Linked DNA regions of Arabidopsis thaliana. The protein of the gene in region 4 interacts with the protein of the main gene of each other region in a pairwise test. Each region holds a gene or a part of one and is shown on either strand. Other genes may lie near its edges.

Region 1 (6,378 bases), on a different chromosome or scaffold from region 4:
ATTATCATTTGCGTTTGCTCGCGCGCAAAAACAAAGAGTATGGTCTGCTACAAAATCAGCAGATAATCAAATATTCAAAACTGGTTCAAAAAGGGTTGATCTTAGCTTACCTGAATTAGCGATTTCTTAGTCTGAAAAAAGTCAAAAACAAGAAGATAAGGTATTAGAAAAGAGAAAAAGATAAAGCAGAGTCAAAGGTTGGGTAAGAGAAGCTTGTATTGTTCTCTCTCTGCTTTAATACCTTTTCTTTCTCTAACATTCGATCTTCTGTTTAGTCCTTTTCAAGATTCCTTTCGTTGTTTCTTGGCAAAGATAAGGATCTTAAACCAGAGACTTGACTTCATAACTTACATATTCTTTGAAACTCTCTTGCTCATCGCTGCCCCTTATCTAAAGTTCCAACATGGGTTCAATCCAAAACACAGTTCACTACTGTTGTGTCTCAAGAGACAATCAGATTATGTACGCTTACAACAATGCCGGAGACCACCGCAACAACGAGAGTCTTGCAGCGTTATGCTTGGAAAAGACTCCACCTTTTCACAAGTGGTACTTCGAAACGAGGGGTAAGAAGACTTTTGGATTCTTGATGAAAGATGACTTCGTTTATTTCGCCATTGTTGATGATGTTTTCAAGAAATCTAGCGTTCTTGATTTTCTTGAAAAACTGAGAGATGAGTTAAAAGAAGCTAATAAGAAGAATTCTAGAGGAAGTTTCTCTGGTAGTATCAGTTTTAGCAATGTTCAAGACCAAATTGTCCGAAGACTCATAGCTTCATTAGAGTTTGATCACACTTGTCTTCCATTATCATCACCTTCCATTGATGGTGCTGAACAAAGCTACGCATCTAACTCCAAAGCTCCTCTTTTAGGAAGATCCAACAAGCAAGATAAGAAGAAAGGGAGAGATCATGCGCACTCACTAAGAGGTATTGAGATAGAGGAACACCGAAAATCAAATGATAGAGGAAACGTAACAGAATGTTCTAATGCTTCATCTGAATCAGCAACGTATGTTCCAAGAAGGGGACGATCTGGTGGCTCTCAGAGCATTGAGAGGAAGTGGCGGCGTCAAGTGAAGATTGTTCTTGCCATTGATATAGCTATTTGCTTAACGCTGCTTGGTGTTTGGTTGGCTATTTGTCATGGCATTGAGTGTACACGTTCTTGATCTATTTATTCTTCCATATGCATTTTCCTCTTCTGCAGTTATGTTGTAGAGATTGCAGTTTGAAATATTCTGCAGCATTGTTGATTGTATATTAGGTATAGGTCTCAAGTTCCTACGTTGGTTTGTGTATAATATGATGATTTTGTTCTTATAGTTGTACATAAAAACCAGTCTGTTGCTGAATGATTGTAGTAAGGCCTCTTGGCATCAAGATAATGAAAGTAGGGATTCATATAGTAGGAGACATTGTCATAACCTCATACAAGAGGATTATATATCAGATCAAAGTAAAATATTGCAATCACAGTTTCATTTTCCAACCACCGAGGATGGAAACTGAAAGCTTTTAGTTTTCTTACATAGAATCAGAAACACACAGCTTACAAGATATAACAACAAATTACATAAAAAGAGAGTTTTTAGTCTTGAAGAAATAGAGGAAAGAAGTACAAAAGAGAGATAAAGAGGTGATGAATACCTCTCACCTGAAATTCCTAACCATGGTTGGTCAACTGGTTTGGTTGATTGTTATGAGAAGAACCTAAAGGGAACCAAAATATCTCCCAAGAGGCAAAAATACATGCAAATGCAAGAACCCCACAATCCATTAGTGGGGTTGGTTCAAGATATGATGAGCAATCTAAATTTTGAATCTTAAAAATGATCTTAATCTAAGTTAGCTCAAGTGTGGCTATAACTCCAAAGCTTAGCCACCGAGAATATACATGTGTTAGCAATTCCTTTATCCTCAAAGGAAGTTTATGTTCTAGCGTTCTACTACAAGACAATGTGTAACAACATGGTCCTAGATCTAATAATCCTAAGACTGCACATTAAAATGGATATAGCGTGAAGTAGTGTGCACACCTTTGCACACACTACTTCAACACTTCCAGGTGGTGGCAATTCACTTCTTGTGCCTTTCCCGGGAAATCCTTATTTCCTTTCTTGTTGATCAGCCAATCCTAAGTTTTTAAGTTTTTCTACAAAATTGCTTGCCTTTGCGAGGCACTGTGCAAAAGACGGTAACTGTTTACTTCTACAGCTCGAACAAGCTATCTTGAACGAAACCTTCGTTCAGAAAGCAGGTAATGCAATGAATAAAATGAAAAGATGAGTAATGTGTATGAAGATGGTCCTAGTTAAACCCCTATGTGAGACTTAACTAGAACTTGCAAAGACGCCCAAACTCCAAATTATGGGCTTCTTTGTCTAATGGGTTAGAAGCATAAAGGGAAAAGGGCAACCATGGTTAGGCCACAGGTCTTGTGAAACTTCAGAGGCATGTGGATGAAAGTAGTAAACAAAGCTTTGCCTTAAGGATTTAAATGAATTGGTCCCCTACATAGCATCATGGAACTATGAACCACGAGCCTTCATGGTCAAGCCTGTGGAACTGCAAAGCAAACTGCTGGAGAACATCAGTACCTCTAGTTTTCCATGTTGTGTATGAACAACGAAAAAATATAAAGAAACTAACCTGATGGTATGACTGGTGAAGGTGCAAGAGACACTGGTGAACCATTGTGATGCGGGTAGTTTCCCCCGGGAGCAGAATAGTGAAACATGTGGTTGGGGTAGTGGAGGGGAGCATAACCAGTGACAGGTCCATTTCCTTCAGCAAACTGGAGATATGGGTAGAACCCTGCTGCTGGTGCTGCTGCTACACCAGTCATTGGTCCGCTTCCATACATTGGATGCTGAGCAGTTGCCCCTCCATAAACATTGTAATAGCTCTGCTGTAAAAACAATAATCCAATAAGCTATAAGAGATAAGAGTAGAGTAGGGAGAGACTCTTACAATATACATACCGTGGGGTAATTGTAATCCATTGAGTATGAAGAGAACCTAAGAAAGTTTAATGAAACCAAACAGAGGATTTATCAGTCTAAGTAGAGTGATGAGTATAGAAAAATCAAGTAAGAGATTAAACGTGGAGTACCCAAAAGGATTAGTGTAAGGAAGTGTGTAGTGGGAGAATGGAAGTGGGGAAGGAATAGCAGTAGCCGCGGTCCCAAAGTGTGTCTTGAAAGGGCTAGTCACCTTCATGCCTCTTCCTCCTACATGTCCTGCCATAACACAACAACATGAGAATCTCCTCTCAAACATTTGCTTTCAGACAAGAACAAAACACAACATATTTAACCAGAAGATTTAACTAACTAGTGTAGTCTGCAGAAGAATTATAAAGACTAGTGAGCAAGAAAATGGCTTTACTGAATCAACTAAGGAATCAAGATGAAGCTATACCTCAAACAATAAAGTAAGACAATTCATAAAGTATCTAACTTTGCTACTAATATGTGAGACATGTGATTCAAGACATACAATTCCAGCAAGATCCATGGATTTACATATACTCTTGATGTAGGGTTTTCAAAAGTAAAGTATCAAAAGACAGAAACCTAAAAGTACCATGAATAGGAGAAGAAGGTTTGGATCTCTGAACACCAAAAGCAGCAAGATTACAATTAGCTCTTCTTCCATCAATAACAGGAGCTGGATCTACACAAGCTTTCTGAGCTGCTTCCGGATCACAAAAAGTAACCTTTACAAAAAAAAAACAGAACCCGTGAGCTTGAAGCTATAACAAATCTCCAAAGTAAAAAGAAACAAGAAGAAGAAGAAACTTACAAAGCCATAGCCTTTAGATCTACCACTAGATTTATCAGTGATAACGACAGCTTCAACAATGTCACCAAACTGTTCAAAGTAATTCCTGAGAGAGACTTTGTGTGTTTCCCAAGCTAATCCTCCAACGAACACTTTGGTAAATGTTGTGTCTTCCATTTCAGAAACAAGGGAAAATTCCACGAAGTAAAGTTTCCGGTTTTGGGAACAGAAGAAGCAGAGAGACGGTAGTTGAGAAACGAGAGAGAGAGAAGAAGGAGGAGGGAAGAGGATTCAAGGAAAAGTCTCAGGGAAAAAAGAGAGAATTTGGGGACACACTCATTGAATTATTTAACTTAGCTTTTCACAAATATCAATGACATTTTTTTTATTTTATGTACGGTCACTGTGTGTTTTTGTACACTTTTTTCTTGTTGGTCGGATCCACTCTGTAAAATAGATTTACAGTTGGAAAACATTTATTTTAGCTATTATTTAATTTTTGGTCTTTTATATTGGTGGAAAATCTTAAAATTGAAATTTTCTGTATTTTTAATTCTACCAAAAAAAGATATTCAACAAAAAAAACTTTCCCTTAGCAAATAACTAACCGAGAAATAACATACACAAAAAAAAAAAAATATAACTAACAGAGATATACTATATATAAAAAAATACATTTTTTTTTGACCAATATTAAATTATAGCTCAAAAGAGTTTTTTTTTTTTTTTAGTTTACATATCCCTCAAAATAAGTTGAACTACTGAATATATTTAGCATTTTAACATTTTCACAAAAGTTGGTCAAAAAAATTAATATACCAACCTTTTAATTTTTTATTATCTTCATAAGAATCCATATTATGATTGCACACAAGTTGTGTAACTTATTTGTAAGACATCAAATGATTCATGCATATGCATATTTCTTAGAACATGATTTAATGTGTTAGCCTACATATTTATATGTAAATCAAATCAAATCTAAAATTGATTGATAGTTAGCAAAATATTTCAGAATTTTAGTGATTAAAATTATGCCGATTTACATTCATTTACAAAAAAAAATGAGCAAAATGTTACGAAAAAGGTAATCTTAGTTTACAAATAGTTTTTTTTTTAATATCATTATTCCTTCCTGTTTTTAACTATAACGCTTATTAATTTTCTATTCGTTAAAAAAAATTATGAAGAATTATTGGTCTTCGTTTACAAAAAAATTTACTGACTTACAGATTTTTCCACTATCTTAGTTTACAAAAAAATTATTGGTTTGTATCACTTTTCATGACAATCTAAAATCTAGTTTACTAATTTGGAGATAAATTCTACTATTCTAAATACAAAATTATGAATTCTACATTTTGAAGTAAACATTTACTGACTTACAGATTTTTCCAGCCAAACTTAATAAGATAGATAATGTATATGAAGAATTAAATTAAAAATTGGTTAATATAACACTTAAGTCTATAATTCTTCTTTATGAGATCTCACAACTACAACAAGAAAAAGTCGGTCCTATTATCTTCAGCCAAAAGTGATTTTTCTAAAACTAGATCAATCTTACAAAATCATGTTTTGTATTACAATGTTAGTATGACTGATTTTTGAGCCATAAATTATTTCGATTCTCAGCTTTCACCCCGGACTTTTGGGCCCTTAAATTTCCACCATCAACTTTCATATTCCTCAAAATTACATTATCTACTTTCGAATTCATGCTTAAACATACATTTCCAATTGAACCATTCATTTAACCGGGATTAACCACAAATCTGCGTTTACTGTACCGCGATTGCGATTAACCCGACTAATACCCAGACCCGTTAAGAAAACGACGTCGTTTTCATTTCGTTTAACTCATCAAAAAGAGAAAGAAAACGATGTCGTTTTCATTCTTCTTTAACTCTCAAATCGATTTGGTCGTTCTTCTTTAATCTCGACACTGTGAAATTAGGGTTCTTGAGAGAGAAAGACAAAAGGAGATTTGGGGTTTTCTTCTTCGATTCGAATTTCTGGGTCTCGATTTGGGTTTCGAATAGGGAGAAATGAAGAATTGGTGGGAGGAAGGATTGATTTACCAAATCGATCCAGATGACCCCGATTTCGAACCTCCAGAGAGTGACATTGAAGCCGACGATGGAAGTGATAGTGGTGATAGCGGAGTCGAGGAGGACGAAGCCACCGGAGTTGAGGGAGACGACGTCGGGATAGATGGAGACAGAGAATCTGATGGAGAGGAGAATAGAGAAGACGATGGTGATATAGCGTCTGATGGAGACATCAATCTAGAAGACGATGGAGACAGAGATGAAAGTCAAAAGAAGAGGACGAGAGAAGAGAAAAGAAAGGAGGAAGAGGCTGAAGAAGGTCAAAAGAAGAGGAGAAAACAGAAGAAGGATGAGCCGGAAGAAGATTTGGCCGAGAGGTTTGAGTTCGAGATAGAGGAAGCAGTAGCTATGTGGTATGATGAGTTAAAGATTAGAAGGAACGAAATACCAGAAAGTGATAATGAAGAAGAAGATCATGTGATCACTAGAGATAGGAAGATTAGGTTAGCTTCGGATGATAGGTTAGCTATAGGCAGAACATT
Region 2 (5,224 bases), on a different chromosome or scaffold from region 4:
AGAGAAGTTCTACCAATACATTATTCAAAATTAATAATTAAAATACAAAAAACATAGCTTTTCTCCTCAAACTAAGTAAGTAATAAGAGTCTCATGCTCTCTATTTGCACGAAGCAAATAGGATTGATTACCATTACTCTCTTTTGTGTACCATATTCTATTTCTTTTTTGTTATTAGTTTTTAAACAAAACTGTTTACTAGTCTATGTTCTGTTATGTTTGTTTGAGTTTTTATGTTAAATTTCATAACTTATTATGTATAAAATTATCGTTTGTTATGTCACTGTATTTTTTAATTTAATACATTATTGTTGTATTTTTAAATTTCAATTAACTGGATAACCATATTAGTATTGATTAAATGCCCAATGTATACCTAAAACATATAGATTTGTTCGTGTATTACTGAAAACATATTTAAATTTGAAAATCATTCTGAAAATGAAAATTTTATCCAAATTATGAGTATTCATTAGTCATTAGTCTATTTTCAGAGTGGATCTAGTCTACCATTGGAAATAGCCAAATAGTTTTTTTTTTTTGTCAAAAGGAATATGTTTACTTAAAAATAGAATTTGTAGGCAGATTTGATGTTCATTAGAGATATGATGCAAGAGAGTTATTTTCTCGAGACTATTTTCTCTGATTAATTGTTGGGCTTGTTCGTTTATTAATCGCTGTGACAGCAATAGGGACTCCGACGAAAAGCAAAAATTATAACGGAGATACAAAAACAGTCGTTCAATATGGACGCCGGCGGCGTCCTTAGTGAAAATGTTAAGTTGCTGTTATTTTTTGGCGACACGTGTATATGCCTTATAGGTCGCTGTTTTTAAAATCGAGCGACTCCTCTTCACATAACTTTCTACAGACTTCAACGTAATTGTGTGTTAAGCAACTGTTTTTTTGGTCGCTGGATATGATCGCAGCGTTTGGAAAAAGAACAGGCCAACAAAAAATATTTATATCCTCTTACTATTATAACAACGAAATCGATAAGAAGGAAACAACAAATGAAATGTTCTTTTCTAAAGTCTCAAACTAAGATGTTATCCAAATACATTTGAGAACTAATTACAAAATGATATAACATTAATAAACAACAAACAAAATAAAGCCGAAAACCAAAATAAAAACAAGAAAATAACGAAAACAATAAAAAAAACTGCAGAGAAAAAAGCCAGAAGAATAGCTCTCAAATTCTCTCATTATCATCTCTTTACAAATTCTTCCTTTTTTTGTTACTCTTAACGCTTTTTTCTTCATCGTCCGATTGTACCGTCACTAAGATCGACCCGCCACGTCATTTATCCACAACACCTTAAAAATCTCTAAAATATTCACAAAATCAGATCGAGTCGCCACGTCATCAAAGACTCGATCCAAGTCGACTCAACCGAGTGAGTTCTCTCTACTGAGTCTTGCATACATCTCCGCTCTCAGCTCTTTCCCAGATTCCACAAATTCCATCGCCGGAGCTTCTTCGATCTCAAACTCTCTTATCCTCGGCCACGTTGCCGCCTGAATCGGACGCAGAGACGACGAAAAAGGTAACCTAACTGCAGATCTCATCGGAGAACTCCACGAACAACCACCTCCGTTCAATTGCATTTTCCTCATCGACGCAATAAGTTCACCGGTACTCGGAGAAAGCGGCGGAGATTCCGACGGTGGTGAAAACGAAGGAGAAACAAGAATCGAAGTCGGAGAAGTAGCTAATCCTGAGAAGAATCCAAGATCTGGATCTAACGAACAAGGTAATACACGTAACTGCTCCGTCGTATGAGCGAAGAAACAGATTCTTCTCCGGCAGCTAGTTCCGTCTTTACACGGCTGAGTACGGTAACGAGAAGGATGGAGCCAACACTCGAAAACTCCATGAGAGAACTCACACGAATCACCTCTTCTACAACTTCCTTTACGAAACTCAGGACAAGCGGTGCCGGAGTAATGAAACTTTCTCGGATCACGTCGTCGAGCTTTTTCTCCGGGATGTGCGAACGGACACTCCGTCCAATCATGAGATCGACCTCGAGCGCATCGCCGGATTTTGAACTCGTAGATGCGAAACTCGTCGGAGGAGAATGAGTCGGTGAGTGGTGATGACTCGTCGCCACTTGATGAGTCTGAATCGTTTGTTAACTCGTTTGACGGGAGGTAACGGAAGAGAGAAGCGAAGGAGTCGAGATACGGTGACGGAGAGTGTGGGTAGTCGTTAACGCTGTTAAGGTTGACGGAAGAGAATGGTGAAGAGATTGTGGCCGTTGGATCGTTGATTTGATCCCATTGAGGGATATGGATCGTTGGATGTGGCCGGTTTTTATTTTCGCCGATCATCATTTTTGTTTAGTGAGTCTAGAAGAGAGAGAGGTGTGTGTCTGTGATATAAACTGCTTTATTTTAACCATGGTTGGGTCAAATATTAACTACGGTAAAGTTATGAAAATCTTGACCCTATCCACAATACCGTACGGTAAACAATTAATAAGCGCAAATCTGCAGATGATGACACGTGTAAGAAAAAATCTCCAATTTTTGTTCGTCTTTTGTTTTTTTCCCCTTCATGTTCGTCTTTTTTTTTTTTTTTTTTTCTTCATATTTGTCCCCCCAAAAAAAAAAAAAATGTTTTCAAAGCTTTAAAAATATTTAAAAATTTTCAAATTTATTTTTTAATCAATCACACTTTTAAAACTTTATTAATTTTTAAAGTTTTAAAAGCTTTTTTCTCTCCATTTACTTTTTTTCTTTTGTTTTTTTCCTAAAGTCTTTAACTTTAAAAGAGAATAATAAAACAAAATAAAAATATTTTTTCTTTATCCATAAAATTTCAAAACTCTTTTCAAATTTATTTATATTTTATCATTAAAAAATCGATTGATTAATTCGAATTTTATTTTTTCTGTTCTTTTCAGATCCAATTTAAATATTTAAAATAGTGAATTTGTAAAATGAATTTTGTATTTTTTTAAAATAAATTTATTTTAGTTACTATTTTACCAAATAAATTGATTTTTTAGCATAAATAATATTTATAAAAAATATTAAATAATAATAAAAATAATTGTGATTTTTTTGTACCAATCAGACTTTAACAGTTAAAGTTTCTATCGTCAAAATTTTTACAACCAAAATTTTTACAGTCAAAGTCGTAACATCCGAAATATTTAGAGTTCAAAAGTAACAGCCGTTACCAATCAGCCCCAACATCTACTTTATTACGCTTTCCGTTTTAAATTAATTGTCAGAACATTAAAAAAATAATTAGAATAAATATCAATTTACATTTTTAAAAGCTAATTTTGACTACAAACAAAATTAAAGTTTTATTTGCAGTGATTTATGTTTTAACCAATAAGAAATTTTGTAAAGTAAAAAATAAAACAAATTATTAATATGTGTGTCAAAACCTAAAACAACATTTTTGGAGTATCACTAACCAAAAGTTATATAGTCACATAAAACATAGGGATACATTAATTGAAGAAATTAAGATACACATTAAAAATTGAAAAAAAAAAAATTTCTATCATAACTCAAAGTTTATCACCAAAAATTGTGTTAATTATTCCGTAGCTGTTATTTGTTTATAAAGATTTAGATCATTTTGACCAGACTGTAACTATTAGATCATTTTGAAGAATCGTAGAATCATACTATTTTATTTGCAATTATATGAATTAGTCCACACTAATATTAAGGGTCTAGCGATATGAAACATAAGACATTACAGTAAGAAAATATTTGGACGGTACAGTATATATTACTTGTCACGTGACTTTCAAGGTCGTAGACTACTCCCCATGACCTGACAAGAGTGAATAAATTTGGTTATTGTCCCCCATTTTTTCTAGATCATGGAAGGATGCAACGTACGTAGCTTTTATGAAATAAATTTCGAACATTAATTTTAACTTTTGGCTCTCCAGCTGATGGGAGTAAATTGACATGCTCCAAAGAAAGAAACACAAGTCACCTAGTGATTTTCAAGAAAATGTGCTTCCTTCAAAATATCCGAGGTCTAAGATGAAATAGTTTTAAAAATTGTTATGCGGGGCATATATTATTAGAGTGTTGTGCACTTGTAACCTTCCAGAAAATAAGCAATTTGGACGATATTTTAAGGTTTGGTCCATGTTCCAGTATCGTGTTAGGGTCCACTGCTTCGAGATCTACTTGATTGATACTCTTCCATTTGTTTTCTAATTGTTTGATGCAAAGGTTATCCATTAAGGGAAACTTATCTATATCACGTGGAATACTCACTGCAAAAGATTCGCAATATTAGACTTATAATTGTCACTAATCAGACCATTAAACAAATATCAAATTGATTAATATGTTGAATTTAATAATCCAATTTGACCTCTTTCAGATAGGGCTTTGGGGACAAATCTTCTTAAATCGCACCAAACTTTTATTATAAGATAATTTTTGGTTCGTGGCTATTAAATTAAGCCTGAAAATTTAAACATATGTTTCACTTACAAGCGTCAAGTATGGATAAACAATGATTAATCATAAGCTATCATAATGACAAAAAGAAGTATGATCGTTATCAGTTCTCTTATGCATAAACTATTGATAAAATTATAATAGTCACGAGATGATTGATCGAGCACGATAACTATTATAATAGTCACGAGAGAATGATGTGAAAGTTTAAGAATGCGTCTAAACCAACAATAAAATAATTTAAATAGTTATAATTGAATACACATTCTATATTAGTAAACATTCAAATTATTTAAAATATCTACGAGACACAATAGCCTCCCAACAACCATTCGTACATTCACTTTCTCATTAGAAAGAAAACGTATCCTAATTTGTTGTTTTCTCTATGAATGTTAATATCATCTAATAAGTCCATATAGACTATATCTAATAAATCCATATAGACTATTGTCTCTGAATATCAATGGATTTGAATCTTTGGCCAAAAAATTAAACAAAGAGACAAATGATGTAGAAGTCACATTACATAGTGGGAGTTAAAATTAACCAGAGTTTGCATTAGGTTGCAATAACGCTTGCATTTACGTCTTGCGGTGCTTACGTTCTGAATCTCTTTGTCGATGAGCTTGAAGATAGTTGATATTGGGATCGAGACTTGGTTGTGAACCACATCATTCCTTTGCTTCCACATATATCCTAACATTTATCTAAACAATCTGGTGCTAGAAGAAAGAGATTATCAAACTGATGCAATGACAAACTACGAAAC
Region 3 (5,585 bases), on a different chromosome or scaffold from region 4:
CAGTTAGGGCCTATGATTAAGCGTGTTGTGGATCATCTAGATTTGGAATTGCGAGAGTTTGATCTTGTGGGTTTGTTTACCAAGACGGTTACTAATTCACCGAGATTGACTGATGTTGATAGGGATAAGAAGGAGAAGATAATAAAGCAAGGGACTTTCCTGATGAATTGTGCGTTGAAATGGTTTTTGTCGACGGGGAGGAGACCAATGCCTTTGGTTGTGGCTGTTTTGGCGTTTGTTGTTCAAGTGAATGGTGTGAAGGTAAAGATTGATGATTTGGCGAAAGATGCTAGTGTTTCGTTGACTACTTGTAAAACGCGGTATAAAGAGTTATCTGAGAAGCTTGTGAAGGTTGCTGAAGAGGTGGGTTTGCCTTGGGCGAAAGATGTTACTGTGAAGAATGTTTTGAAACATTCAGGAACTTTGTTTGCTTTAATGGAAGCCAAGTCCATGAAAAAGAGAAAACAAGGGACTGGGAAAGAATTAGTTAGAACTGATGGATTTTGTGTGGAGGATTTAGTGATGGACTGCCTAAGCAAAGAATCTATGTATTGTTATGATGATGATGCTCGTCAAGATACTATGTCTCGGTATTTTGATGTAGAAGGTGAACGTCAGCTTAGTTTATGTAACTATGATGATAATATATCGGAGAATCAGTTGTCTACAAAGTATAATGAATTTGAGGATCGAGTTTGTGGTGGGACTCTTGCGAAAAGAAGTCAGGGAAGTAGTCAGAGTATGTGGCAAAGGAGATCTGTTTTTGGAATGGTGTCAACTGAAAATTGGTGGAAAGGGAAATCGGAATTGAGTAAAAGGCTTTTGCTCAAAGACTTGTTGGAGAAAGATGTAGGGCTTGAAGCTTTGCCTCCTTCTTACATAAAGGGTTGCGTTGCAGTTGAAAGACGAAGAGAAAAGATTAAGGCAGCTAAGTTGCGGATTAATGCAATACAACATCCTTCTGACAATGTTAGTGAAGGTGCGTTGTCTTTGGAGCTTGAACATAGCAAGAAGAAAAGGAAGAAAGGATCTGAAATTGATTGGGAGGATTTGGTTATACAGACTCTGGTCTTACACAATGTGAATGAGGAAGAAATAGAGAAAGGCCATTACAAAACTTTGTTAGACTTGCATGTTTTCAACTCTGGAGAGGTTTGAATTGAAATGTTTTTCTCTTGGAATTTTTTTATTTCTTACAGTATAATTCATTTAAGGATGTAAAAATCGTTCTGAATGCAGAAATTATCAAAGCAAGCATCACAAGACGATTCAACAATCCATGTAAATGTTTCTCTGAAAATGATTAATAAGATAAACTACTTGTTTCTTTAATAAGCCCTGAAAGAAACAATTTAAGAAAAACAAAAGTCTAATACTGCTTATGACTGACTACCAAATCCATTTCATTGATCTCTCTGATAATTAGAAGTTTCCTCAGCTTGTATTCAATCAGCCTGACATGCCATAATCTTCAACATGATCATAAAGGTTGTAACTTTCCGCCAGTCCCATCTTTCCAACAAGATGCTCATCCCCTACAAACACAAATCACAAGAAATTATCTGAGACAGACACAACTTACTTGACTATTTCTTCAAAGCCAATGTCTCTGTTTTTTTCAGTTACGTGTGAACTAAAAAGGTATCTTTGTTACTTACTTGGGTTTGATAGAACATCTAGCAAGTGAAGGTCTGAGCTAATCTCAGGGCTCTGAAAGCAAAGATCTTCAGGCCTAGGAGCAGTAGTTGTTGCTGTTGTTGTCCCTAACCCATTATTGTTGCTATTTCCATCTGGAAGACCAAGAAGACTCTCTGGCCTCACTACTCTCTTCTCATTCAATGCTTCAACTTCAGTCTCTACCTCAGACTCACCATTATTATTTCCAGAAGAACCTCCACCATGCTGCTTCCTCTTGGATCGAGCACGTCGGTTCTGGAACCAGTTATAGACATTTTGTTCAGCAATCTGGCCGTGTTGGCTCAGCTCTTCTGTTATGTCTTTGATCTTCTGCTTGCTCGGTGTTCCCGTGCCTTGATCGAATATACGTTCCAGAATCTGAAGCTGGACTGGCGTAGGAGTCCACCTCTGTCTAGCTGTCATCTTATGACCTAAAGATGACATCATTGGGTCTGCATATAGTCCTCCCATTCTCCCTCCTGTTACCAACAACAGACAAATGAGCAGAGTTGTTAAAAGTTAAACTAAATAAAAAAACTGAAACTTTATATCTCAAGAACACATCATCAAGCTAAAAACACCTATTTTGGTGGGAAATTCTCGAAGCTCAATTGAAAGATTCAAAGGAGTGATTCTAGAATTCCTCAAGAACCATTATTTTCCTTATTCTTAGCTCAAAAATCCACGAAAAGGATTGGTCTTTGAATCAGATTTAAGCCAACAAATGCTTAAAAGGCAGAGAATTTTCAATTACCCATACACCAAAGTGAAGAAGAATCACTAAAAAATCAATTAAACCACACAAAAATTCTGAATTTTTTTAAAAATTTCAAAAGGAGTCCTTTTTTTATCTTTAGATGAACAGAGAAGAAGAAACTAAATGATAGAAGAAAGGATAGAAACCTGCAAGATCTTGTTGAGCAGTGAGAGTTTTATGCATCTCAACAAGACGCTCACAAATGGTGCCGTAAATAGCAATCTGTTTCCTGAGAGTTTCATACTGCTCATCGGTCATCACCTTCACGTACATTCCTCCTCCGGCGCCGGAGCCGCCATTAACGTCGATCCCTTGAAGATTAGAAGAGTGATGGTTATTGGGTTGTAGCTGATTATCCCATTCCATCATCTCTTTTGTCAGAATTTCGCTCAGAAGATTTCTCTCTTTCTCTGTGTGAACGAAGGAAACAGAGCAAAGTCAGTGCTTTTTCGGGAGTAGAAGGAAAGGTAAAGGCAGAAAAGGACAAAAAAAACTTAATTTATGTTATTCTTTTGTTCTATATTGAAATTATAATATATAGTTTCATTACAAAGGAAAAGACAAATAAGAAGACGGTAATGATTCTTTGACAATCGTTAAAGGAAACTATTTAACCAACGGTTATTTTAGTTCCTAATTTGGAAATTGACCGTTTGAGATTTCACATACGGTTAAACGGCTACTTCCATATCTGAATATTTACATTACCATAATCTAAATGTTATTTGATTTATAGTTGGAGAGAGCCGTTGCTATTTTATTTTATGGAAATAACATGTCTGGATGCAATCGACTTGATACAAATATTAACAGCTAGTTTGATCGTATCAATGAAGTAGATTGTTAGTTTTTTTTTATAGTCGTTGGTTGGTACTTTTCAAGAAACTGAATTACTTTTTTCTTTTCAATATCCATTCTTCAAGTTATGTATTTTGTTTACACCGAAAAGTTTTTTCCTTATGCTTTTTTAGTCCAATTTGTGTTATATTTTTGGGTCAACAGTCAAAATGGTGGTATACAACTTTTTAAAAATGCGATAAAGAGCACTTGTGGCAAAATAAATAAACACTTTTAATTGCCTCTTTTCCTGACCGATTAACTGACATTCCGTTGATTGATAAATTTTGGTTGCGATCTAACTTTTCTGACACATTCTAGGTTATATTTTTCTCAATTATTCTATAGAAGAGTATTAGCTTCACCGTCTTTTGCAATCCCTATCATCTAATTCAATAAGAAACCTTTAAGAAAAACCAAAAAGAAAAAAAAAATTGTTGGGCCAGTCAGGACTTATAAGTTAAGGAGCGGCGACCCAAAAAGAAAATAAATAGTTTCCACGTGTCGTTTAAACAGTAGAATTTGTAGGTGGTCGGTGTCCGCCGCCCATGTTCCACGGGCGCACTTAGATTTTAATATGATCTAATCTGACTCATTAATTGCCAATAAAATTGATCTCTGTCGAATAACCAGGCCAAACAATGAAATGTGACCATGGTCGACAAAAACATGAAGATAAAGAAAAATATAATATGTGGTCATGACTCATGCCGTATCGTAGTCGGGGGCGTAGTAGTGTTTTGTCGGAACGTGTAAATAATTAGCTCTTCTACTTAATTCTGTGACTTTTTTTTTTACACTAATACACAAATTATTACTTTAATTTTTCAGCCAAAACTTGAAATTTATACTTGCTTCACAATTCTATTCAAGTCATTGTCTTCGTAACCTATACGTAAAAATTATCGGAACTTTTGTTTATTTAATTAGTATCGTCGTTTTTTCTTTAAATGATATAACGCCTCATCGTTTTTTCCGGAAAGTGTTTTCGTTTCGGTAATTTTTTTAATTGTCAACATTATGGAAGAAAATAATGAGGTTTGCATGTGCGACCCTAAGTCAAGTATCGAGACCAAGCAGAAGCAGTCTATCTAAATACCAAAAAGTCCATATTCACACAAATATAGATACATTTTATTTATTGTCATTAGATGATAGGAAAATTAGATTAATACTCACAAAATTTAAATATTCTAATACTTGAATTATATATATATATATATATATATATATATTACAGAAAAGAATAATTTACATTAGATGATTTTTTGATTAATTAAGTTGAGATTTTTTACTAACAAAGCTCATTAATTTAAAAAATTTACCAGTATAATAATCATTTATTTTTAAAATTATACATTAGATGATTATTTTCTAGTTTATGTCTAGGAGTAGAACATTCAACCACCGGGACAATATAGAGACACAAACGGAAATATCCAGAACAAGACATTATTTACGTAAGCATTATCAATCGACCAAATGATAAGGAATTTAAATATAGATGAAAATAGTTGCATACAAATTTGTCCATATATATATACATAATCTTAATTACATGACTGACTTAGTGATGAGCCATATTATAACCCATTGGATTCTCTTTGGCCCAGCTTTCTTTGGATTCTTCTTTTAGATTGGAGAGTTTGGTGTACCTATAGCTTCTCTTGTCTTCTATCCTTATTTTATGCTTTCTTCTCTGTTTCCTATCATTGAAATCTATATTCTTAATCCCGGTTTACAAATCTACTTACTGTTGTTTTTTACCCTGTTGACCACTGCTAATTATTATTATACGCTGAATCTTTCCCTACCAAAGAAAATAAATATATACGGTGAATCTTACTTAAAAACGTATATATATAGTAGGATTGTGAAAAGAAAAAGAAAAAAGCTTCAGTATGAACAAAACTTGAACTCAAAGTGAAGACAACTTACTTATTGCACCAGTACTTAAAAAATGATTTATCCAGGCCTATATTTATTATCTCCTAACAGCCCATCTCAGCCCACCAGGTTGACGGTAGGATCAATTGTTGTATAATGGATTAGTGTTTTTTTTGTTTGTGTGTCATTGTGTGCTGCTGTTTACTCACCATCTAGACGTTACAAATGTGTTGATTTTGATCAAATATCGAACTTCGCACTAATAACCGAATCTCTGTTAAAGTTTTCACGTTTTTTGGTGTCTCGGTTTTTCTAATGTCATTACAGAAACCGTTTCACTAGTATTACTTATCTTGATCTTGTTGTATATATTATCCTTCTTGATGGTGAACGAGAACAACGTTTCACTTTAAAAGGAGAATAAGAT
Region 4 (6,144 bases):
AATTCTGTCTCTATCTACAATATAATTAGTGTCTTGTAACTTAATTTTTCTTGCTACACCAAAACTCTTTATTCCTTCGAAACCTGGCAGCCTCAGGCACCATCCTGTAAAAATCTTGGATAGTATAACCAGAGGTTGGAGTTGGTTGTTTGTGATCTGCGCTAGAGAATTGCTCTAGCTCATCGAAATGTAAACTTCTTCTTATGTTGCCTTGTGAATCGATAATGGGTTGTGGAATGGATGGGCAAGACTTTTACATCTTATGGTCGTCCTGTGAAACAGAAACGATAGGTCAAATGTCTTTTGGTTTTTAGTTTGTTTTGTCTTTCTCTTCCGTATTTCCTCTCTTTCTTTTGCTCTTCATGGCGTTCGAACTCTCAAAGACCTAGTTAACTTCCATGACATACTAAATACTATGCACAAAGGATATTGGGTATGCCCTATGTTTTGTCTTTAACAATTATTTTATATACATGCAGACTATTATCTAGCGGTCTATGAGATGAGTGGGAACCGTGTCGCAGTCATATTTGACAATACAGGGTATACAACATCAGAGGAAAGCGAAACCAACAGAGCACTCCCACAAACTACATATGCGATGGATAGAGGGTATATTTACTTCATACTGTTCTCTATGGTTGATGTGTAGTCGCTGTATATTCGGAGAAATTTTCCTGTATCTAGACAGTTGACATCATACGAACACGTAGCTAACGTTTAGCACCAGCTTAAATTGAACTTGAACTTAACTACAGTAAAACCTTTACAAATTAATAATGTTGGGATTCTAAAATTTTATTAATTTATAAAGAAATTTTTCATAGTAATTTTTTACTATAAGATTTCTTTCATTATAAAAAATATTTTTTTTATAACTAATTATAAGTAAAAAATAATTCTCATGTCTAAAAAATAACACCAAATTTTTTTTGATACAGTAAAATATTAGAACTAAATTCAAATAAGTACAAATGAGAACTAAATATTAAAAATATATTTCAAAGAAATTTCTTACATATAATATATATATAAATATATATTGTTGATATATCTATATCATTACTAATTTATGATATTAATGAAACCATATATTTATGGTGAAACTATATTTACCGATTTAAATGTAATTCTTTTTGTACAATAGTATAAATAATCTATGATTTTTAAAAAAAAATCAAGATATAAGTTTGTTTAATTTATAGGATTAATAAAATTAGTAGATTTGGACACTGGAAATTACAAATCATCCGAGTTTTAGAACTAAAGCAGACCTATTAAGGATGAAAATCATCTGAGAAATGACTATCCGAGGAAAACGAATGCCACGGTGCATCAAAACACTGCTTTAAACAGCTAAGTGCATTTTGTACTCGCACTATATACAGTACTCATCGAAACGATACTTGGATACTTGAGATGATCAACATCAGATTCTTTCGAATCATTTTGCATCATCAGGTTTTTGGCCACCAGCTACGCTACTGGAAGAACTGTGGTCTCGTACGCTCGGAGAAGATGAACACTTGCTAGAATGAGAGCTTTCTTCTATTGAGTTGTTGTTGTTGTTTCTCTTACATCTCTTTGTCTTCTCTGGCCTTTGCAATGTATCCTTCAAAATACAATTTCGCGAATAACTGTGAAGATAATAAATCCGAAAAAAATTGGAGATCTCTAGCTTCTAGTTTTAAGTCTCTCTACCTTATCAGAAGTAGATCCAGGGGTTTTTAATTCGAGTTGTGTTGCAACTTCGTTGGAGTCCTCTGCTTTCTCAGATCTGCTCTCTCTTGAAACCTTTGCTCTAGGTTCCCGAGAACGGTTACCGGGGTTCTGTGGAATGTGCACGGATTGTTGCTCAACGACTGTATTAGGAGGCATGTAGGGCATGTATGTAGGACATGGAGCTGGGATCATGCTAGGGTTCTGGTTCCCAAAGTATGTGTAAGATGGCATTGATGGATGCATTGGGATTGACCCGGGAGGCATAGCAATAGGCATAGGGTATGGAAAGGAGGGTGGTGGAGCCATCATGACTGTGTGATCCATCGCAGCTCCCCATGGAGACATTGACCTTAATCTCTGCTGGTATTGAAGATTGAGATTCTCTATATCTGATTTCAGCGATGTCTTTTCTTCTCTCAGGTCGTTTTTCTCCTGTGTCAACTACAGAAAGAACCGTTGTTATACAAGTACCAGTAAATTTGTAAGTGTTGCTATTGATGATAACAACAAGTCCTATAAGCAGTTACATTATATAGCCCGTCTGAGTTTGCATCTTACGAAATAGGTGTAGTCACCATATCGTAAAAGCAAAAAGACAATGAGTTATCTATATTGGGATCCCTATCGATATCTTTACGTCATGTAGACTGCTAATTTTTTCTGTTAGGAAAAGCCTGGAGCGTAAGGGATAAGGTACGAACCTCGCGGGACTCATCTGTCAATGCGGTGTACTCAGATTTCAGTTTGTTGACTTCAGATGTGAGCTCTTTCAACAACTGAACAGTATCAGTCAGAATCGTGGCTTTGTCATTCTTGGGTCTCTCTGGATCTGCAAACAGAAGAGCTATGTGAGGATCAAAGTGAGATCATCTGCTGTTTAGAAAAATCCACATAACCATTGAGTCTATACCGAGTACATTTCCCAGTTCAACAAAATGCTCATTCAGTTTTTCCCTCCTCAACTTTTCGCGCCCAGCTTTTTGTGACTTTCTAGCAGAAACGTCCATGACCTCCTCTTCTGCAACCAAAACATCGAATAAACTAAGAAGGTCATATTGCAGTCCCACTCTTAGACATATTTTAGTATCCAATTCCACCATAACAGCACATCGACCACACACACTGTAGCCTCAGAACTAAGCCTTGATTGACTTAACATAATTCTCTTTGAGTCGATAGTCAGGTATCATATGATCCCAGCTCACATACCAGACATAGTTACATACTTAGCAATTGGCATCATGAATTGCAAAGAAGGTTACTAGAGAAGCTAATCTCAAACAGAAAATTCCACATTCTTTTGTACACCTAATTTGGCAATAATAACATCTATCTCTATCAACAAGTTAGAGATTTAAACATCTACGAAAAAATTACTAAACGTTGTTGAAGAAGAACACAGGGAAGGAATTGATTTCCACGACGAACTAACAACACTTTCACGAGCTAGAGAGCTAAGTTCAAACCAATAAAACCCTCAAAATCAAAATAAAAATTCCTTTGATTAAGAGAAGTACCAGATTGTGATCGAAACCCTAAATAGGACGATGAATTCAGGACGATCAAATTGAAGAAAACAATAAGGCAGAGATTCACCGGCGGGAAGAATCGACGGCGACGGAGAGATTCGATGAGCTAAGAGAAGACAAGGTGGTTCGGCGAAGATCGATTCTCGATTCTCTAGCCTCCTCGCTCGCTCTCTCTCTCTGCTCACAAGCATTATTCCATTTTCTCTTATCCCCATTTTTTCAATTATTTTAATTAAAAAAAACAATATTCATTCTATCTACAATTCTGTATTTTTAAAAAAAAACAATTGTGTAGAATTTAATATGTCCAACTTCGCAAAAGCTGGAATTGTTTTTTTCTTTTCACTCCAATTTATGCATTTATCAAAACAGACACTCATTGTTGATTTTAAAAGATTCAATTGTACTTTTTATCCAACACAATTATAAAGTTTGAAAAGTAAGTACGAGATTTTTATTGTGAAACTAAATTAACTCTTTTATATCTTGAATCGAGATGGTGACATAATTGTACCGGACAAAATATCGAAAATTTTAAAAAATATTTTTACATAACCTCGACTATTTTTGTGTAATAATCAAATCATTTAAAATTGTCAAATTATAAAAATAGTTTTCACAAACGTAAGAGATACGTACTTCTAGATATACATACTTTCTGCAAGCTTTTAGTATATTTAGAAATTGTAAAAAAATACGTACTTTATGTTCTTACAACTTGACTGCAAAGTAGGTGTACTTTGACAGTTTCTTCTTCCACTACCCAATTGAATCCATCAACAAATATTTTGGCCAAAATGCACATCAAATTTTAATGTTCGTACCGCGTTTCGAATGATTTGCCGCTCTGTTGTAATATTTGAATTATAATCAGTTCGTTGATGAAGCAAATAAATCATGGTTCTTGAACAGTGTTAGCCGACTAGTTTTTATGTCTTAACCATTTTTTTCTTGCTCTCTAGAGCACTGCTTGAACATTATGATATTGTATAATTTTTGGCATAGAAATGTAAACTTGACAAAATTTTTGATGATTACTTAAGTTTTGGTCTCGAGATTCTAAAGATTTGCACAAAAAAACAAAGGATTGTTCTTCTAAAAGAAAAAGTTAAATCGAAAAGGACACAAAATTTATGTAATTTTATTGTATCCTCTTTTTGGGCTAGCTTTAGTCGATGAGGCCAAATGGGCCTGTTAATTATTTATTTTTACTTTAGTATTTTTTAAGTGGGCTTCTTCCTTTGGGGCTTTACATTTTTGTTGGTCCCTGTAAAATCCTGTTAAAGGGCTTAAATACTAGAGCACAAAAATTTTAAAACAATAAAACCTAAATCCTCTCGTCGCCTTCGTTTCTTCGTCCCACTCCCATCCCATTGATGAACCCTCAGAAGACTTTGCCCTAAACCTCACATACTATTCATAATTTGTATGGATATTAAAATGATATTTTATTTGGAAACTTCATTTTTAATAATAAATAAAAACTATTATCGGAAGTTAGTCATATTTTTTTATTTTGTACTCAAAGAGTCGTAATGTATATCGACATTGGTGTATCTTTTTTTTATAACATTTTTGTTACATATATCGTTTTCAATTACATATATTTTACATGGCTGGATTTGGATAATGATGAAAAGCAAGTAGTCGACTTTATTCACAAACGTTAGAGTCATAAAACCCTACCCGGCCCATTCACATGCAATGAAAGTGAAACTCCCAACTTTACAAGCAACTGATATATAAATATTCTACAAATAAAAAGGGAAGAAAACTCTTGAAATTACATGGAAGTGGAATAATAGTATTACGAATTTATAATGTAATGCCAAGAAAGGGAGAATATTTATAATTCACATAAAAACAAAGGGGGCACATTCATATATACGTTACGTGTGTATAAAACAGCATATAAATACAGAATATATATATTACAACTTGAGTAGCATAGTCCTTGAGCTATTGACAAGTCATAAGTGAGAGTTCATGAAGCATCATTTTCTGTGCTACTGGAAATATATATTTGATATTAGTCGTGACCTATAGTTCACTGTCTAAAATGTAAATCTTATTTGATTTGATGCAATACATTTTTACTTTACCCCAAATAACCTGAATAATGTTGGTCATAATTATGAATTATTCTCAACAAATTGTAAGCTATTTCCCTGCTGTTTGTTTACCCACCTACTGTATTTTTTTTTTCTTCCTCTAACACCAATTTTTATTTTATTTTTTGGCCATCCTGATCAATGAAGCATTAAGGAATCAATCTTTGCACCTGGTTATTTTTAGTAACAACTAACAACGCCTCGTCATATTGATTTGTGCTCTGCACACAAGATTATATGGATTTCAAAATAAACATGCAGTCAATTAATGCAGTTTATATAACTTTTCTTAAGTTCGATGTTAGAAAAAAGGTTTTCTAATGTAAAGAAGTAAACTATGCATGTCAAGCTAATTGCTCCAAAATTAATATCATATAGTACATTTCGATTAAGCAATGAATCTTATTATCTAATACCAAAAAAACTAAACAATAACGAACAATAATTTTTTCATTACAAACGGCAACAAATTATTACATTTTCACTATTTTAGATGGTCTACACACTAGGGTTACAAGTTGGTCCATGCGACCAGTTTATACAATTTTTCGATGACGTTTGTATATAAGTTCCTTTTGCATAAATTTATATGAGTTATAAAGGATGATAAAAGAAAGTGTACATTAGATAATTGAAATAAAGACGCCGAAAAAGAGATATATAAATAGCCGTTTCCATGTGATAACTATTATTGCTCTCTCTCTCTCTCTCCAATCCAAAAGGAAGAACAAGAACAAGAAAGCTCACAAGAAGTTTCATCTTCACCAAATGCAAAAGAAGTT

The links.
Region 1: the proteins of bHLH121 (region 4) and AT1G33470 interact in a two-hybrid assay, tested with the Arabidopsis thaliana proteins (one large-scale study listed by BioGRID).
Region 2: the proteins of bHLH121 (region 4) and ATCTH interact in a two-hybrid assay, tested with the Arabidopsis thaliana proteins (one large-scale study listed by BioGRID).
Region 3: the proteins of bHLH121 (region 4) and WOX13 interact in a two-hybrid assay, tested with the Arabidopsis thaliana proteins (one large-scale study listed by BioGRID).

Annotation. Positions count from the first base shown.
Region 1 is NC_003070.9:12,142,216-12,148,593, reverse strand, and holds AT1G33470 (RNA-binding (RRM/RBD/RNP motifs) family protein), read right to left. Parts: upstream 4,155-6,378; 5' UTR 3,963-4,154; coding exon 3,807-3,962; intron 3,721-3,806; coding exon 3,588-3,720; intron 3,242-3,587; coding exon 3,115-3,241; intron 3,021-3,114; coding exon 2,984-3,020; intron 2,911-2,983; coding exon 2,652-2,910; intron 2,580-2,651; coding exon 2,554-2,579; 3' UTR 1,386-2,553; downstream 1-1,385. Other genes in the region: AT1G33475 (SNARE-like superfamily protein), read left to right, coding at 404-1,171.
Region 2 is NC_003071.7:11,038,933-11,044,156, reverse strand, and holds ATCTH (Zinc finger C-x8-C-x5-C-x3-H type family protein), read right to left. Parts: upstream 2,827-5,224; 5' UTR 2,684-2,826; intron 2,592-2,683; 5' UTR 2,341-2,591; coding exon 1,393-2,340; 3' UTR 901-1,392; downstream 1-900.
Region 3 is NC_003075.7:16,874,365-16,879,949, forward strand, and holds WOX13 (WUSCHEL related homeobox 13), read right to left. Parts: upstream 3,088-5,585; 5' UTR 2,804-3,087; coding exon 2,581-2,803; intron 2,157-2,580; coding exon 1,659-2,156; intron 1,536-1,658; coding exon 1,450-1,535; 3' UTR 1,159-1,449; downstream 1-1,158. Other genes in the region: AT4G35540 (POLLEN-EXPRESSED TRANSCRIPTION FACTOR 2), read left to right, coding at 1-1,158.
Region 4 is NC_003074.8:6,901,164-6,907,307, reverse strand, and holds bHLH121 (basic helix-loop-helix (bHLH) DNA-binding superfamily protein), read right to left. Parts: upstream 3,552-6,144; 5' UTR 3,467-3,551; coding exon 3,319-3,466; exon of another isoform or gene 2,823-3,318; coding exon of another isoform or gene 2,741-2,822; coding exon 2,633-2,740; intron 2,552-2,632; coding exon 2,424-2,551; intron 2,164-2,423; coding exon 1,702-2,163; intron 1,613-1,701; coding exon 1,445-1,612; 3' UTR 1,101-1,444; downstream 1-1,100.